Linked DNA regions of Mytilus edulis. The protein of the gene in region 1 interacts with the protein of each later gene in a pairwise test. Links are inferred from orthologs where the notes say so. Each region holds a gene or a part of one and is shown on either strand. Other genes may lie near its edges.

Region 1 (7,229 bases):
CAGTTAGATTTGGTATATCAAAGAACCCCATTTATTCAATTTTTGATGAAATCAAACAAAGTTTAATTTTGGACCCCGATTTGGACCAACTTGAAAACTGGGCCAATAATCAAGAATCTAAGTACATTTTTAGATTCAGCATATCAAAGAACCTAACTGATTCATTTTTTGTCAAAATCAAACTAAGTTTAATTTTGGACCCTTTGGACCTTAATGTAGACCAATTTGAAACGGGACCAAAAGTTAAGAATCTACATACACAGTCATGACAGGTAGATTCGGCATATCAAAGAACCCCAATTATTCAATTTTGATGAAATCAAACAAAAGTTTAATTTTGGACCCTTTGGGCCCCTTATTATGTTGGGACCAAAACTCCCAAAATCAAACCCAACCTTTCTTTTATGGTCATAAACCTTGTGTTTAAATTTCATAGATTTCTATTTACTTATACTAACGTTATGGTGCGAAAACCAAGAAAAATGCTTATTTGGGTCCCTTTTTGGCCCCTAATTCCTAAACTGTTGGGACCTAAACTCCCAAAATCAATACCAACCTTCCTTTTGTAGTCATTAACATTGTGTTTAAATTTCATTGATTTCTATTTACTTAAACTAATGTTATAGTGCGAAAACCAAGAATAATGCTTATTTGGGCCCTTTTTTGGCCCCTAATTCCTAAACTGTTGAGACCAAAACTCCCAAAATCAATCCCAACCGTTCTTTTGTGGTCATAAACCTTGTGTCAAAATTTCATAGATTTCTATTAACTTAAACTAAAGTTATAGTGCGAAAACCAAGAAAATGCTTATTTGGGCCCTTTTTGGCCCCTAATTCCTAAAATGTTGGGACCAAAACTCCCAAAATCAATACCAACCTTCCTTTTGTGGTCATAAACCTTGTGTTAAAATTTCATAGATTTCCATTCACTTTTACTAAAGTTAGAGTGCGAAAACTAAAAGTATTCGGACGCCGGACGACGACGACGACGACGACGACGACGCCAACGTGATAGCAATATACGACGAAAATTTTTTCAAAATTTGCGGTCGTATAAAAATGTACTTTTAAGATATCAAGACTAGAAATGCAAGTAATTCATGTAATTTAGAAAATAGAGAACTTTTGGTAACAAGCATCTTTTCTGGATGTACCTTTATGGGATATAAGACAGATCCCTTGAAAATGCAGGATAAAAGAGAAATCATTCTGACAGACATGCAAAATTATCAGAATTGCCTAACCAGAGGAATTATATTGGGAAAACCCAGATTTTAAATTAAAGTCAAAGACATTTGGTTATAGAAGGGGCCCTTAGGAATTACAATTTTGCATGTTATTATGTAGAGTGAAATTTAAGGTTAAATTATTATGAAAGAAAAAAGTAACTTGACTTCAAATGGAAAAAGAAAAATTATAAAGTATTTACGTCAATCCAATGAATCTTATCTTCAATCACAGAGTTCGGAAATCTTTTGATTCACATAATCTATTATCATGATTATGGCACTGAATCTATATATCTGACAAAGATATCATAAATAAAGCCTGCAAGTATATTTTGTTGCCAGGACCACTAAGGCAGTATGTGATAAAACCAATGCAAAACTGTTCTGTTTAATCAAAAATAATGTCATGTAAATAAGGCACCAAATTAAACTCCAGGGAAATTGTGTTTTCATTACCATGATTACCAGAAATTATAAGAGTATTAATTGTGAGGCCAAATTAATTAGTTACAGAAGTACTTATCTTCCACAACTATAGATGCACCAAAAAAAAAAAATGTAGTCAATATCAAATGACAAAATCACTTTTTTCGATCAATGATATTTATTCATTTACCATGTTTACAAAACAATATTTAGTAAAATATACTTAATATAGTTTACAGTATGACCATTATGAAAAAATGTGACTGCAGTCTGCATATTGAATAATCAATATGGTCAAATTGGTAATGTGACTGAATCAGCCTGTGGCCAAACTTATTTTGTAACTGAAATGCATCAATTTAGCGTACACATGCAGCGGTAGTCCAAACAATTTATCTTGCAATATAAAAAAGAAGATGTGGTATGATTGCCAATGAGACAACTATCCACAAAAGACCAAAATGACACAGACATTAACAACTATAGGTCACTGTACGGCCTTCAACAATGAGCAAAGCCCATACCGCATAGTCAGCTATAAAAGGCACCGATAAGACAATGTAAAACAATTCAAACAAGAAAACTAACGGCCTTATTTATGTAAAAAAATGATCGAAAAACAAATATGTCACACATAAACAAACGAAAACCACTGAATTACAGGCTCCTGACTTGGGACAGGCATATACATAAATAATGTGGCAGGGTTAAACATGTTGCAAGACATCATAATTATTTGAACTATAAACTATAAAAGCAGGGGTTGAGGTGTGATATGAGTATTGAGGGTTTTGAGGATTCAAAGTCGTAGAGATTAAAGGTTTCTGATTAATTTATTTGTGCTCATGCATCGGTTGTTATTATACTCCGCATTAAAGCAAAAGATGTCTCTTGTGAATACCTGATCTGCTACTTTTCGCAGCTGTTTTTCCCTTTCATACTGTGTCAACAACTGCTCATTATCATCTCTCAAGAGTTCCAATTCTACATCTGATTCTTGTTTATCTTGCAGCGCCTGGTCCAAACCTTCTAAAAGACCTACAGTTAATGGCATTAACTCTTTGACTACATCTTCGTCGTACTTTTTAATCATCCTTTCAAATTCTTTGTAAACATTCGTGGCAAGTGCTGAAACCTTTTCTGACATGACATGGCCCTCCTCGTTAGTTCCATACACCGTTTCGGCTATCTCAGCCATCTTTCAAATTTTCAATCAGCTATAAAATATATAATTGAGTTTGCTAAATATAGCTACATTTTGTTTATACGTATGGGATTTGATCAAAAGGAAATAATTCTGTTTTGACGTCTGAGCTGTCGTCCATATTGACAAGTTGATGTATAAATTAATCATGTGATGTACAGAGCATGCGTTGGCGAAAGAATGAGCCACTTCCGGTTTGGGGGCCAATACAAAAACAAACATGACTGGGTTCAGGCACCTCAGGAGAATTTCGGGTGCCATTTCGAAGTTTATTGCACCACAAAAAATACGAGTAACACACTTAAGATTTTCCTCCCAAATACTGCAGGGCAAAACAGTCAGAATAGGATGTGCCTGCGGTTTTTGGGGGGATACAGCTGTGGCTGGTAAGAGTTCAAAGTTTGTATTAGGTCAATTCGTCCCATAAAATCGCCCCAAGTATTACTTTTAAACTTAATTTTAATTAATGATTCCCCCTCCCTAGCAAACAGCAAGACAATATAGAAATATTGTTAAAGATAAATCTAACAAGATTGAAATTTCAAGATTTTTAATTCAATAACATGTTGGGTCAAAATAATTATTTGCTATTAGTATTAGTGTGACAGGATTGCTTCCCTTAGAAAAACTTAGTAGATACTTAGTCAGCCGTAAGCGGTTGAGCTATGGAAGTACTTCTTTAGCTCAGTCGGTTAGCGCGCTGCCTTGTAACACAGAGGTCCCGGGTTCGAGTCCCGGTGGAGACAAGCAATTTTGTAATGAAATTCGTGCTCTCCGGTTACATTGGCGCCCAACAATAATAACCCACGGTTAAAATATAAATATAAAAAAGATGAAAATATCATCATTATAGAGTATAATGACTCTTGAGGTGGGGGAAGTGTAACAGGATTGCTGCCCTTAGAAAAACTTAGTAGTTACTTACATTGTAGTCAGCCGTAAGCGGTTGAGCTAAGGAAGTACTTCTTTAGCTCAGTCGGTTAGCGTGCTGCCTTGTAACACAGAGGTCCCGGGTTTGAGTCCCTGTGGAGGCAATTTTGTAATGAAATTTGTGCTCTCAGGTTACATTAGCATAAATGTAATAATGGGTATTACATCTATGGTATTGGTAGTATGGTGATGTGTTTCTTAGAGTTTATGAATTTGTACACTAAATCCATTGGATGTGTACTGATTAATACTTAAGTCTGGTAATATATTTTTTATTTACTGCTCTAGTTGAAGACTAAGTTGGCTTTGAACTACATTTCAGCAACTTTGAGTACCCTTAATTCAGTGCTTTTTTTTGTCTTACCGTTATATTTGTTTTTCATGTAGAAATTTTTTAATTGTTTTTATTCCTTCTACCAATCTTTGGTTTTGTTTCTCTGACAGTCTTAAGTGTTTTGTATGCTGTTTGCTCTTGTTTTTCTTTTTTTGCCAGGACATTTTAAATTTAGACTCATGGTATCTTTCACCTCTCTTTTGAAGCCATTTAAAAAATGTGCTTGTATTGACATCCTATTTTGCTTGAGAATAAAACATTATCTGTAATCTCTGTTTGGTTAAATTTTGTTGATTCATTTATTATTTTATAAGATTAATTTATGTTTATTAGCTCCTCAATTTATCTATGGTACAAAGTTAGACTTTCTTTAATAGTTAATAATACTTTTTAGCTCCTCAATTGATCTATACTAAGGTACAAAGTTAGACTTTCTATAAGTAGTTTTATATTTTTTAGCTCCTCAATTGATCTATTTGGTACAAATATGACTTTCTATAATTTTAATTTTATGTTATATATTTTAGTTCCTCGATTGATCTATGGTACAAAGTTATACTTTCTATAAATAATTTTATATTTTTTAGCTCCTCAATTGATCTATGGTACAAAGTTAGACTTTCTATAATTTATGTTGTATTTTTTAGCTCCTCAATTGATCTATGGTACAAAGTTAAACTTTCTATAATTTATGTTATATTTTTTAGCTCCTCAATTAATCTATGGTACACTTTCTATAATTTTAAATTTACATGTTATGTTGTATTTTTTAGCTCCTCAATTGATCTATGGTACAAAGTTAGATTACCTGGTGTTTGATTACCTGTCAGAGATCACAATGTCGCTGTTAATTTCAGCTAAACATAAGTATCCCGTAAGTAGATTTTATTTACATGTCACTTTAAGATCATAGATTGAAAGATACTGAATAATTGAATAATGGAGTTGATTGAAGTCATGAAGATGGCTATATGTTATCTTCAAAATGATTGTAATGAAACCAGCCATCCCACACAAATGCAAAGAAATTTTTAATGACATTGAATGTTTTTGTAATGGAATGATAACATTGACTTCACTTAAGGTGGTACCTAACACTACAGGGAGATAACTCTGTAAAATAAGCTAAACGTTTTCATTATGTGGTGTTGTTAAGTAAATATTGAGCTTCTCAATGATCAGTGAAACTGCTGTATAACCAGTGTAATTTTTCTGATAAAATAGTTGGTTCAATTTTTTTGAAATTTTTATATTTTTGTCAAAGGGTCAAAGTTAATATCTTGTCAAAATTTTATGAAATTTAAACAAGCAAAATTAATCTAAGTGAAGATGTTAGGTACAACCTTAATATTTCATTGAAAACCCACCAATTAATAATTTATTTTTTCCCAAAGAAATACAGTGATGGCTTCAATATTGTGTAGCAGATTGACAGTTAAATATGTTGTATTTTTCATTTTGATCACCAACATTATTACATAAACAGCATATTTCACAAATCTATAAAGTAATTCAGTATTAATGTATTTAATTGTAGAATCTAGGGTATGCACCTGATTTTGTACAGATTTGTATGGCACCATTCATCAAAGATATCAAGTCTAAAGGTATTGTTTTATATATATATCAAATAAAGATTGACTGTCATTTCATTGCCAATAAGATTTTTTGGACCCTGTACATTTAGCCATGGTTCATTGACTTTGACTTTTTTTGCATAACTTACACGTTACAGTATTGCTATTTTAATTTTAACATTTGCATTTTACAATCAAAGTAACAAAAAGGTGAGACTTATCTCTGTGGTAACAGTTTACTTTTGCTTTCAGACTCTCCCTCAAATTGGCAAAAATACAACCTGCCTAAAGAATTAAATGGTTTACTTATAAATTAAGTAATTGATTTGGACTTGCAATTGTTTGATTGGAGCAACACTGATGAGTCCCTATGTATTTGGTTGTTTAATAACAGCCTGATATCTTTAATGAATTTTGACAGTATACATTCTTCATATATATCATAGGTATAAAAGTGATAAGTAATGCTGGTGGTGTAAATCCACAGGCCTGTGCTGATGCATTAAAACAGATATGTGCTTCAGTTGGTGTCGAGATGAATATTGCTGTTGTTACTGGTGATGACCTAATGCCTAAGGTATAAAACAGACACAATTAAATGATAGTTGTATAAAATATGTTGCTAGGGATACAAAAAAATATTCATTAGAAAGTAGGCCTTAGAATTTAGGAAGAACTTTTTTAATACTGTTCATAATGACGACAAGATCAACTTAAAATTAAAGGCTAATGTAGAATTTTCCCCTATGTATAATAACCATTTAGGAGAGAATATGTTATGTGAAAATTTGTGACAAATATTGATAATGTTATAAAAATTCTGCTGATATATTAACATAAGAAACAAGGCTTTATATATTGATTGACCACCAATTTTAAAAGTTTTAATACAGTGAATTATTTAGTATGATTTTTCATTTTTCCTTTGTTTAGTATTTATTGCTTATTTCAGAGCAAAGAATTGATCAACAGTTCAATCACTGATATGGATTCAGGTGATCAATTCCCTAAAACTGTACACAGTATGAATGCATATTTAGGGTAAGTTGGTGAAATACATTACAGTTAAGGGTAATGTTTTTTCTCTAAATATGAAAATGAGGACAACGAAGGAGGAGTGTTATAAATGATTGCCAATGAGACAACTTTCCATCAGAGACCAAAGGATTTATCTAACAAAGGGAACGAAGGAGGAGTGTTATAAATGATTGCCAATGAGACAACTTTCCATCAAAGACCAAAGGATTTATCTAATAAAGGGAACGAAGGAGGAGTGTTATAAATGATTGCCAATGAGACAACTTTCCATCAAAGACCAAAGGATTTATCTAATAAAGGGAACGAAGGAGGAGTGTTATAAATGATTGCCAATGAGACAACTTTCCATCAGATACCAAAGGATTTATCTAATAAAGGGTCACTCGCTGTCACATTACAGCCTTAATCAATGAGCAAAATCCATATTTTTAACTATGGAATAAAGGGTCTGCATTACAAAATGTGAAACAATTTTTAAAAGAGAAATAAACA
Region 2 (7,772 bases), on another chromosome or scaffold:
ATATATGAGTATTAATTTGATCCTTTTATGTTAACAATCACCATTTCTTTATACTTTTCAAAAGTAAATACCAAAATTCACTCTTATAAAAGAACCGACAAACTATCAAATTCACCGTAATGCGTTTATTGTCGACGCTGGCTAAATAGCTATTGTCTATAAAAATAGTTTTGTTTTAACTTTGCCGGCTTCCAATCAATTGCGATATTTTAATCAGAGCCGGTAAACTGGTATTGCATATATTTTTATATTTTGCCGGTGCCGGAAAATAGCGGCATGCATGCACTCAGGCCGCCTAAAATTTATATTTAACTGTTGTGTCCCAGTGCCTAGCTTGATTTCAAATTCCAACTAAACTCGGAGGCAGAAGAGATGCGAGATGAGATGTGATATGATTGCCAATTGTTGTCACTAAATGACGAACATATGTTAATTCACCGACTGGCTCGTAATGCTGCAAGCTTACTTGAGAAGCAACAACACCCATTTCAAAGTCTTTGGTTTGACCCGGCCTAGAACGAGGCCCCTCATGCGGGGGGGGGGGGGGGGGGTCCTAGTAATCACATAATCACCATTTTTTTGCCAATATAATCACATAATCATTAAATATTTGCTTATCTTTAGTAATCAAATAATCATAAACTAAAAATACAGTCCTAGGTAATCAAATAATCATGAAATATTTGGCTTAATAATCAAATAATCATTAAAAAAAACGGCCAAGTAATCACATAATCAAAAACCCCATGAGGGCCCTCTAGAACCAATGATCTCCCGCACTAGAGGTGAACATACAACCACGAGACCAACCGATTATCGTGTGTGTGTGTCTGTTTCTTCTGAACAATTCAAGGGTTTGGCTTGGTTTTAATTTGTTGCATGCATAATGACATGTCTGGCGATTGAGCTTCTGTACAAATTTAACATGCTTACAAGTGGTATTTTTCCAAAAATACTTTATTATATTCTAGACACCGGTATTTTTGGCATGTAATACCCCTTGTAAGCATGATGCCTTTGTATGATTGTTTAATTCCACCGAATGCTCTTTGTATATCCATCTTAATTAACCAGTCAGAAGTATAATTATAATTAGGTATCATATGGAGTTTCTGCTTGACTGTATAATTTTTGAATGTGTAAGTGGTTCAGCTATATATATAGTTGTTGTTGTAAATACTGTCCAATAATCCTGTTTGTAAAATAAACTGTAAATAGCATAGTAGCAAACTTGAATTGTATGATAGGATGGATTCCTTTAATCAAAGGAAATAACCAATGACCAAGCTGGGCCACATTTCTTACTTCATCAGGCCAAACAGTTAGCCGTATGACAAACTCAAATGCATGACACGAAATTCTAGCACAATCTGATTTCCTGAGATGACTAACAATACCAATAGTATGCTTTTAAAATTATTATAAATTAACAAAAATAACCTTCAATATACTTGTCTATATGCTAGAACAACAATAAATATTTAAAGTTAAAATTCTTTGTTATTTGTACTTCCTATCATAATTTCCTTGGCTGTCAGAGGGTTGCTGCTCACAAGGAAGCTATATAAAACCAAGAGTTCTAAATGGTTAATTTTACGGACGCCATCACGAGTTGGTTGGCCGTTACACAGATGATCGGATATAATCCTTACGTATATATATATATATATATATATATATATATATATATAGTAACTATACACTCCCTTTCCCTTTTCACGAAGGTATCCCACAGAATTAGACTATTAACCGGGTTTGTTATAACATGAGCAACACAACTGGTGCCAGATGTGTGCATGATCTGCATCAGTGCTAAAACTTCCAAAGCATCTGAGATCACCACCAGTACTATTATAGTACTATTATTTAGATATAGGAAGATATGGTTGAGTGCCAATGAGACAACTCTCTAAGTAACAATTTATAAAAATAAATCATTATAGGTCGAGGTACGGCCTTCAACACGGAGCTATGGCTCACACCGAACAGCAAACTATAAAGGGCTGAAATATTAATAATGTAAAACCATTTAAACGAGAAAAATAACGGTCTAATCTATAAAAAAAATTATAAAAATCTATAAAAAAAATATTTGTCTGTTTGTCTTTTTCTTTCTTAGCCATGGCGTTTTCAGATTATTTTTGATATAAATATTACACCGAATTCGCTGGATACATTTGGTCATAAAAATAATTAACAGGGCGTTTAGGTATGTTAAAATGAGACCACAAACAAGCAATGCAAAAAGAAAAGAAACATTTTCACTGAGAAAAGCATACGATCTTGCGCAATGTATAAAATGGATAAGTGTCGAAATCATGTTGGACCATAACTTTGAGTGTCTATAACGGTACAACAATACATTTCAGAAGTTTACAGCCAATTTCATTGAATGTGTAGCTACAGGGAATATATTTGGTTAGCTTGCTTGCCAGCTGAACCGTGAAGTCATTATTAGGTAAGGTATACAACCCTCTTTTTGAAGTAACCTAGTCCTACATACACGATAGATTGGTTATCTGTCTCTATCGGACTAGTCTACTCTTAAAGGATGGTAGTTTACTGTGACCTAAAGATATTACTTTTAGCTATACACTCAATGAAATGGGCTGTAAAATGTTATTACAGATATAGACAATAATCAAATATATTTCCACAGTATTGTGTCTTGTATTGATAGCCACTTGTTGAAGGCCGTACGGTGACCTATAGTTGATAAATTCTGTGTCATTTTGGTCTCTTTTGGAGAGTTGTCTCATTGGCAATTATACCATATTTTCTTTTCTTCTTTTTTTTTTTTTTTTATATTAAAGTACAAAGGATCAATACGTGTACATGGTTGAATTAATCTATAATATATAAGTTCATGAGCTCTAAAACCAAACACGGGATTTTATATTTTTCTGCAATTAAAGCAAAAATTCACACAAGGACAGAATTTGTGTAACAGCATTTTATGTATGGTGACGAAAGCGCTGACTTGATATGCAGTGCATGATACCAAAGATATTATTGTATTATATGTATCTGATGATACATAGATGACTTTCATTTAAAATTCATCTTTTAAATTGTACAATTTTTGTATACCTCGCAGCAACAGCACGACCAACTAACTATACATGATGCCAACAAATTGAAAGAGCTGTTAACACTTGCATCATGCACTAATGTGTACCATCCGGGGACAGTTCCGGTCGGGTTCGTGATGTTTTAGATCTCTACGAAGTGTTCTTGTGAGTGCTATGTGCTATAAAATTTAATCAGAAAATATAATTTAGACCTAAAGTTTTTTGTTCGAATGATCCGTACGGTTTTTAAATATTATTTTCTGACTTTATGGATAACAAAATAAAATAAATTTCTTAATTATTGGCATACCGTAGTAAATGTGAATACATCAAGTTAAACAATGGCTAAGTCGGTTTTGGACAATGACAAAAGTCATAGACGACCCTCGAAGACATAAAATTCTGGTAATTATAATGTATTACTTTTTACAATTATAACTGTAAAAATGTTACAAGGATGTGTATTTACCATACAAATCATTGGTCTCTGCAAAAATTAGAGGAGCCGTTTTTGTTCGAGCTATCGGGTCGATCCGGCCCCACGTCGATCCGGCCCAAGTCGATCCGTCCCACGTCGATCCGGCCCATATATTTGTAAAGTCGATCCGACCCCAATAAAAAATATTTTTTCTTCCGTGGGATAGTATACACGATTCTTACGGGACCACTGGCTGGGGCAACTGATCAAACATATTCTACCTATAGTATTCAAGAAATACGACAGAGCAACTGACTATCATATTTAAAACAAATATAAACAAGTGACACAATACGTTATTATTAACACATAACACTTACAACCACAGATGAAGAAAAAACAAAAACAAAAAAGGAAAGCATAACAACCATACTGTATTTTTCTTTTATTACAAATTAGATGCAAAAGTATAAGTCAAAAACCAAAGTCTCGAAAACGAAAATTCTCAATCCCTTATAGAAGTTAAAAACAATAATTAATTTTATTAATTTTATTTATATTTAGATTTATTAAATTAAGTTTAAACTAGTATAGGTTAATAAGGCGCACCACCTATAAACAAAGATAGTCTATGATGTTACCTGAAAAAAAAATACAATTAATTATTATTTAAATGCAACCAACCAGAAGATCAAACTATAACATGTATAAAAAACTTGTTGATTACGTAACTTTAATTAATCAGGATTTGATTGATTTAAGTGATTACGAGTGGCATTACCTTAGTTCACAATCATCAGATAATTGTTGAATAAACAAACCAATTATATATTAAAATATATCTATAGTTCTTTAACTGGTACTCCAATACTTCACTAACTTCCTGATGTCATCCACCATCGGACACTTTTTGCAAATTCTATTTATACTGTTAAAAATTGTCACAAATTCCCCCAAAATCAATATAGTTTATTCATATTTTATTATGGGGCCGGATCGACGTTGGCCGGATTGACTTGGGGCCGGATCGGTTTGGGGCCGGAACGACCGGATACCTTTTCGATTGATGATTTTACAATAAATGTTCAACGGCATTATTAAATCTTACTGTATTTTTTTTCTTCCAATAACCTCAATTAAGATCTTTTACTTATTTTGTATTCTTGGAACTGAACATTTTACGATGATTATAAATATAACCAGAGATTCTAGTCCTGAGTGATTTTTTTTATAAATTTCAGAATAAAATCTGTCTTTTATCAAAACCAGTTATTCATGAAAACGGCCATGTTACTTGTGTGGGGAGTGAAGTTGTACACATAAACACTATATTTTGCTGTTATAGCTCTACTAAAATTTAAATACACAGACAGACATTATAAATTTAAGCTTTGCTAAAACACCACTGCACATGGCCGAAAACATTGGTGCCGACGTTGATTTGCAACTTAGAATACCCACCAACTGTCAAGTCTGACAGGAAAGTCCAGCTCAACAAGATGTATAGATTTTGTAATTTTTAATAGTAATACATATCTGAAAATTTTAAGGTAATTAACATATTTCAGGACAATATTCTCAATAAGTATTTATTTCTATATCCACTTAGCTTAGACGTTAACTTAAGCATGCTAAGTTGACATGTTATGCCTCCAAGTACAATCGGCTCTAGCCTCTACTATGAAAACCTGTTTTATTTTTAGGGCAATGTAGACTTGTGCAAACCACCCCACCCTTTCAGGCCATGCAGAACAGTATCTGTGGAACTGTAGCTCTAAGGTCCTTATTCTTTTTGATAAGTTGCAGGTGTCAAAAATACCTGAGTGTTCGGGAATCAGGGGTATCAGGTCCGTTCGCGCCCAATACAGTTTCGCACCCTACATGTTCGCATCTCGCAGGTTCACTCCCAGGTCCGTTCGCACCCAATTTTAAATAAAATTCCTGTTGAATAGTTAGAAAATCAAGATTGTTTTTTTAGTTGATTTGATGTAAAAACTGCATGTATTTAGCATGTTTAGCTGGGTATGAGTAAAAACATTGAAGATTTTAAATGAAAAACACAAAAGATTTTAACAGCTTGGCCCTTTTGATCTGAAACAATGAAACAAAAAATCATAGCAATGCACTAGAACCAAAACTTGATTAAAATTTATTCAACACAAAAAAAAAAATATGTTGTCATAGTCTCACTTTATTTTGAAACAATGAAATAAAAGTGAGCAATACACTTAACCAAAACAAGATTAAGATTTATTAAACACACAAAAAAAACCACATTGTCTCAATCTAATTTAGGACAATGATAACAAATACAGTAACACTTACAGTAATACACTTGCCAAAGCTTGATTTATACAAAGTTATCAAACACAAAACCAATAAAAATGGGGCGTGAACGTGTAGGGTTCAAAACTGAAAGGGGGCGAACGTGATAGTGTGCGAACAGACTCGGATTCAGAATTGGGTCAAGGAATCTAGATACCAAGTAAAATCTGCATCATCACAATTTGGCATGAGTGAAAGATATTTAACACATGTAAAAGACAGTTGAACTTGAAATCTAGACTTATCATGCTTATCGACACCTTGTAATGCCTACTAATGGTACTTTTTGTACTTTTATATTCCACTGGGCGGGCATGTTAATCTTTCAGACCTTATTGTTAACAGTGGCCTGGTAATGATGTGGGTTTTCTTTGATTTAATTCATGTGTTCCATCAGGAAGTCATACATCTTTATTTTTGTCAATATTTGGATGAATGAAATCTAGTATGTTAGTATGATCAGGATTACATTATGAGTTAGTAATCAATTGCTTTTTTTTATGCCCCACCTACGATAGTAGAGGGGCATTATGTTTTCTGGTCTGTGCCTCTGTTCGTTCGTTCGTCCGTTTGTTCGTTCGTCCGTCCATTCGTTCGTTCGTCCGACTTCAGGTTAAAGTTTTTGGTCAAGGTAGTTTTTGATGAAGTTGAAGTCCAATCCACTTGAAACTTAGTACACATGTTCCCCATGATATGATCTTTCTAATTTTAATGCCAAATTATAGTTTTGACCCCAATTTCATGGTTAACTGATCATAGATAATGAAAGTGCGAAGTTCAGGTTGAAGTTTTTGGTCAAGGTAGTTTTTGATGAAGTTAAAGTCACAACTACTTGAAACTTAGTACACATGTTCCCTATGATATGATCTTTCTAATTTTAATTCCAAATTAAAGTTTTGACCCAAATTTCACGGTCCACTGAACATGGAAAATTATAGTGCGAGTGGGGCATCCGTGTACTATGGACACATTCTTGTTTAATCATAACTTGGAGATGAAGATGTTTATGGCAAATTCTTTTATCAAATATCATCATACATGCAACATTTTGTATTTTAATGTATATATACTAATCATAATATTTGTGCATCATGAAATAATGATAAAAATACATGACTTCGCACATTTATTCTATTAACTTCATCTAACAGTTCAATTTAATAAAAATAGTAATAAGACACAAACAATATACGAAATTTAAATTAATCTTATAATTAATTGCTTAGAAGAAGCATACTTGAGAAAAACACATTTTAAAATTATTGTCAAATGTTCAAGTATACATCATTTGTACATTGCTGGTACACTAATAATTGCAACACATGCTAATTCATTTCTTACCTTTATTTCCTAACCCTGAATATATATGAAACGATTGTTTAATTTGACTAATCCCTACCTATTGCCTTTACATTTATGTAATAGGTGCCCTAATTTAAAACTTAAAAGTGTAGTTTCCACACAGATCTTTCTAAGAGTGCCCTTTTAAAAGCTGCAGGTAACATTACTTTTGCCTCTGCCTATTCAGTTGAATTCAATCATTAAAGTTTGATGCATAGTGCCTATACATGTACTGTCCAACAAGCATGCTCACTGATAAATGTATCATGTGGATGTTGACATAATTATTTTTTTTCTCTTAATTTTATAACATGTAGAATGGGCCTGATAATGCATAGTACATGTACATTTTTTGGCATTTATCTGATTTTTTTATAAATCATGATCGCTGCATTGCAATTTGGGCAATTATATACACAAATGATATAAACAGGTACATTCAAAATGTTTAAAATACTGCAAAAATTTGCAACAGGTTACATTGTACATGTAGGTTTTGCAAATAAGAAAAGCTTGTATTTCATTAAATTTTGACAATATGCAGCATTTCCTAAAATTCTAATTTATGACACTTGTTCGACAATCGGAATAATAATTGCACACAAACATTTCTGAAT

Evidence for each region.
Region 2: the proteins of C-Jun-amino-terminal kinase-interacting protein 4-like (region 1) and kinesin light chain-like interact in binary tests that used the Caenorhabditis elegans proteins (3 or more experiments, as listed by UniProt). The link is inferred for Mytilus edulis from reciprocal best matches to the Caenorhabditis elegans genes unc-16 and klc-2.

Annotation. Positions count from the first base shown.
Region 1 is NC_092351.1:70,275,412-70,282,640, reverse strand, and holds the start of C-Jun-amino-terminal kinase-interacting protein 4-like, read right to left. Parts: upstream 3,018-7,229; 5' UTR 2,853-3,017; coding exon 2,556-2,852; intron 1-2,555. Other genes in the region: uncharacterized protein, read left to right, coding at 3,079-3,244, 4,896-4,996, 5,660-5,729, 6,146-6,276, 6,652-6,740. UniProt on the Caenorhabditis elegans protein: The JNK-interacting protein (JIP) group of scaffold proteins selectively mediates JNK signaling by aggregating specific components of the MAPK cascade to form a functional JNK signaling module.
Region 2 is NC_092346.1:18,417,273-18,425,044, forward strand, and holds the start of kinesin light chain-like, read left to right. Parts: upstream 1-4,744; 5' UTR 4,745-5,039; intron 5,040-7,772. UniProt on the Caenorhabditis elegans protein: Kinesin is a microtubule-associated force-producing protein that may play a role in organelle transport. The light chain may function in coupling of cargo to the heavy chain or in the modulation of its ATPase activity.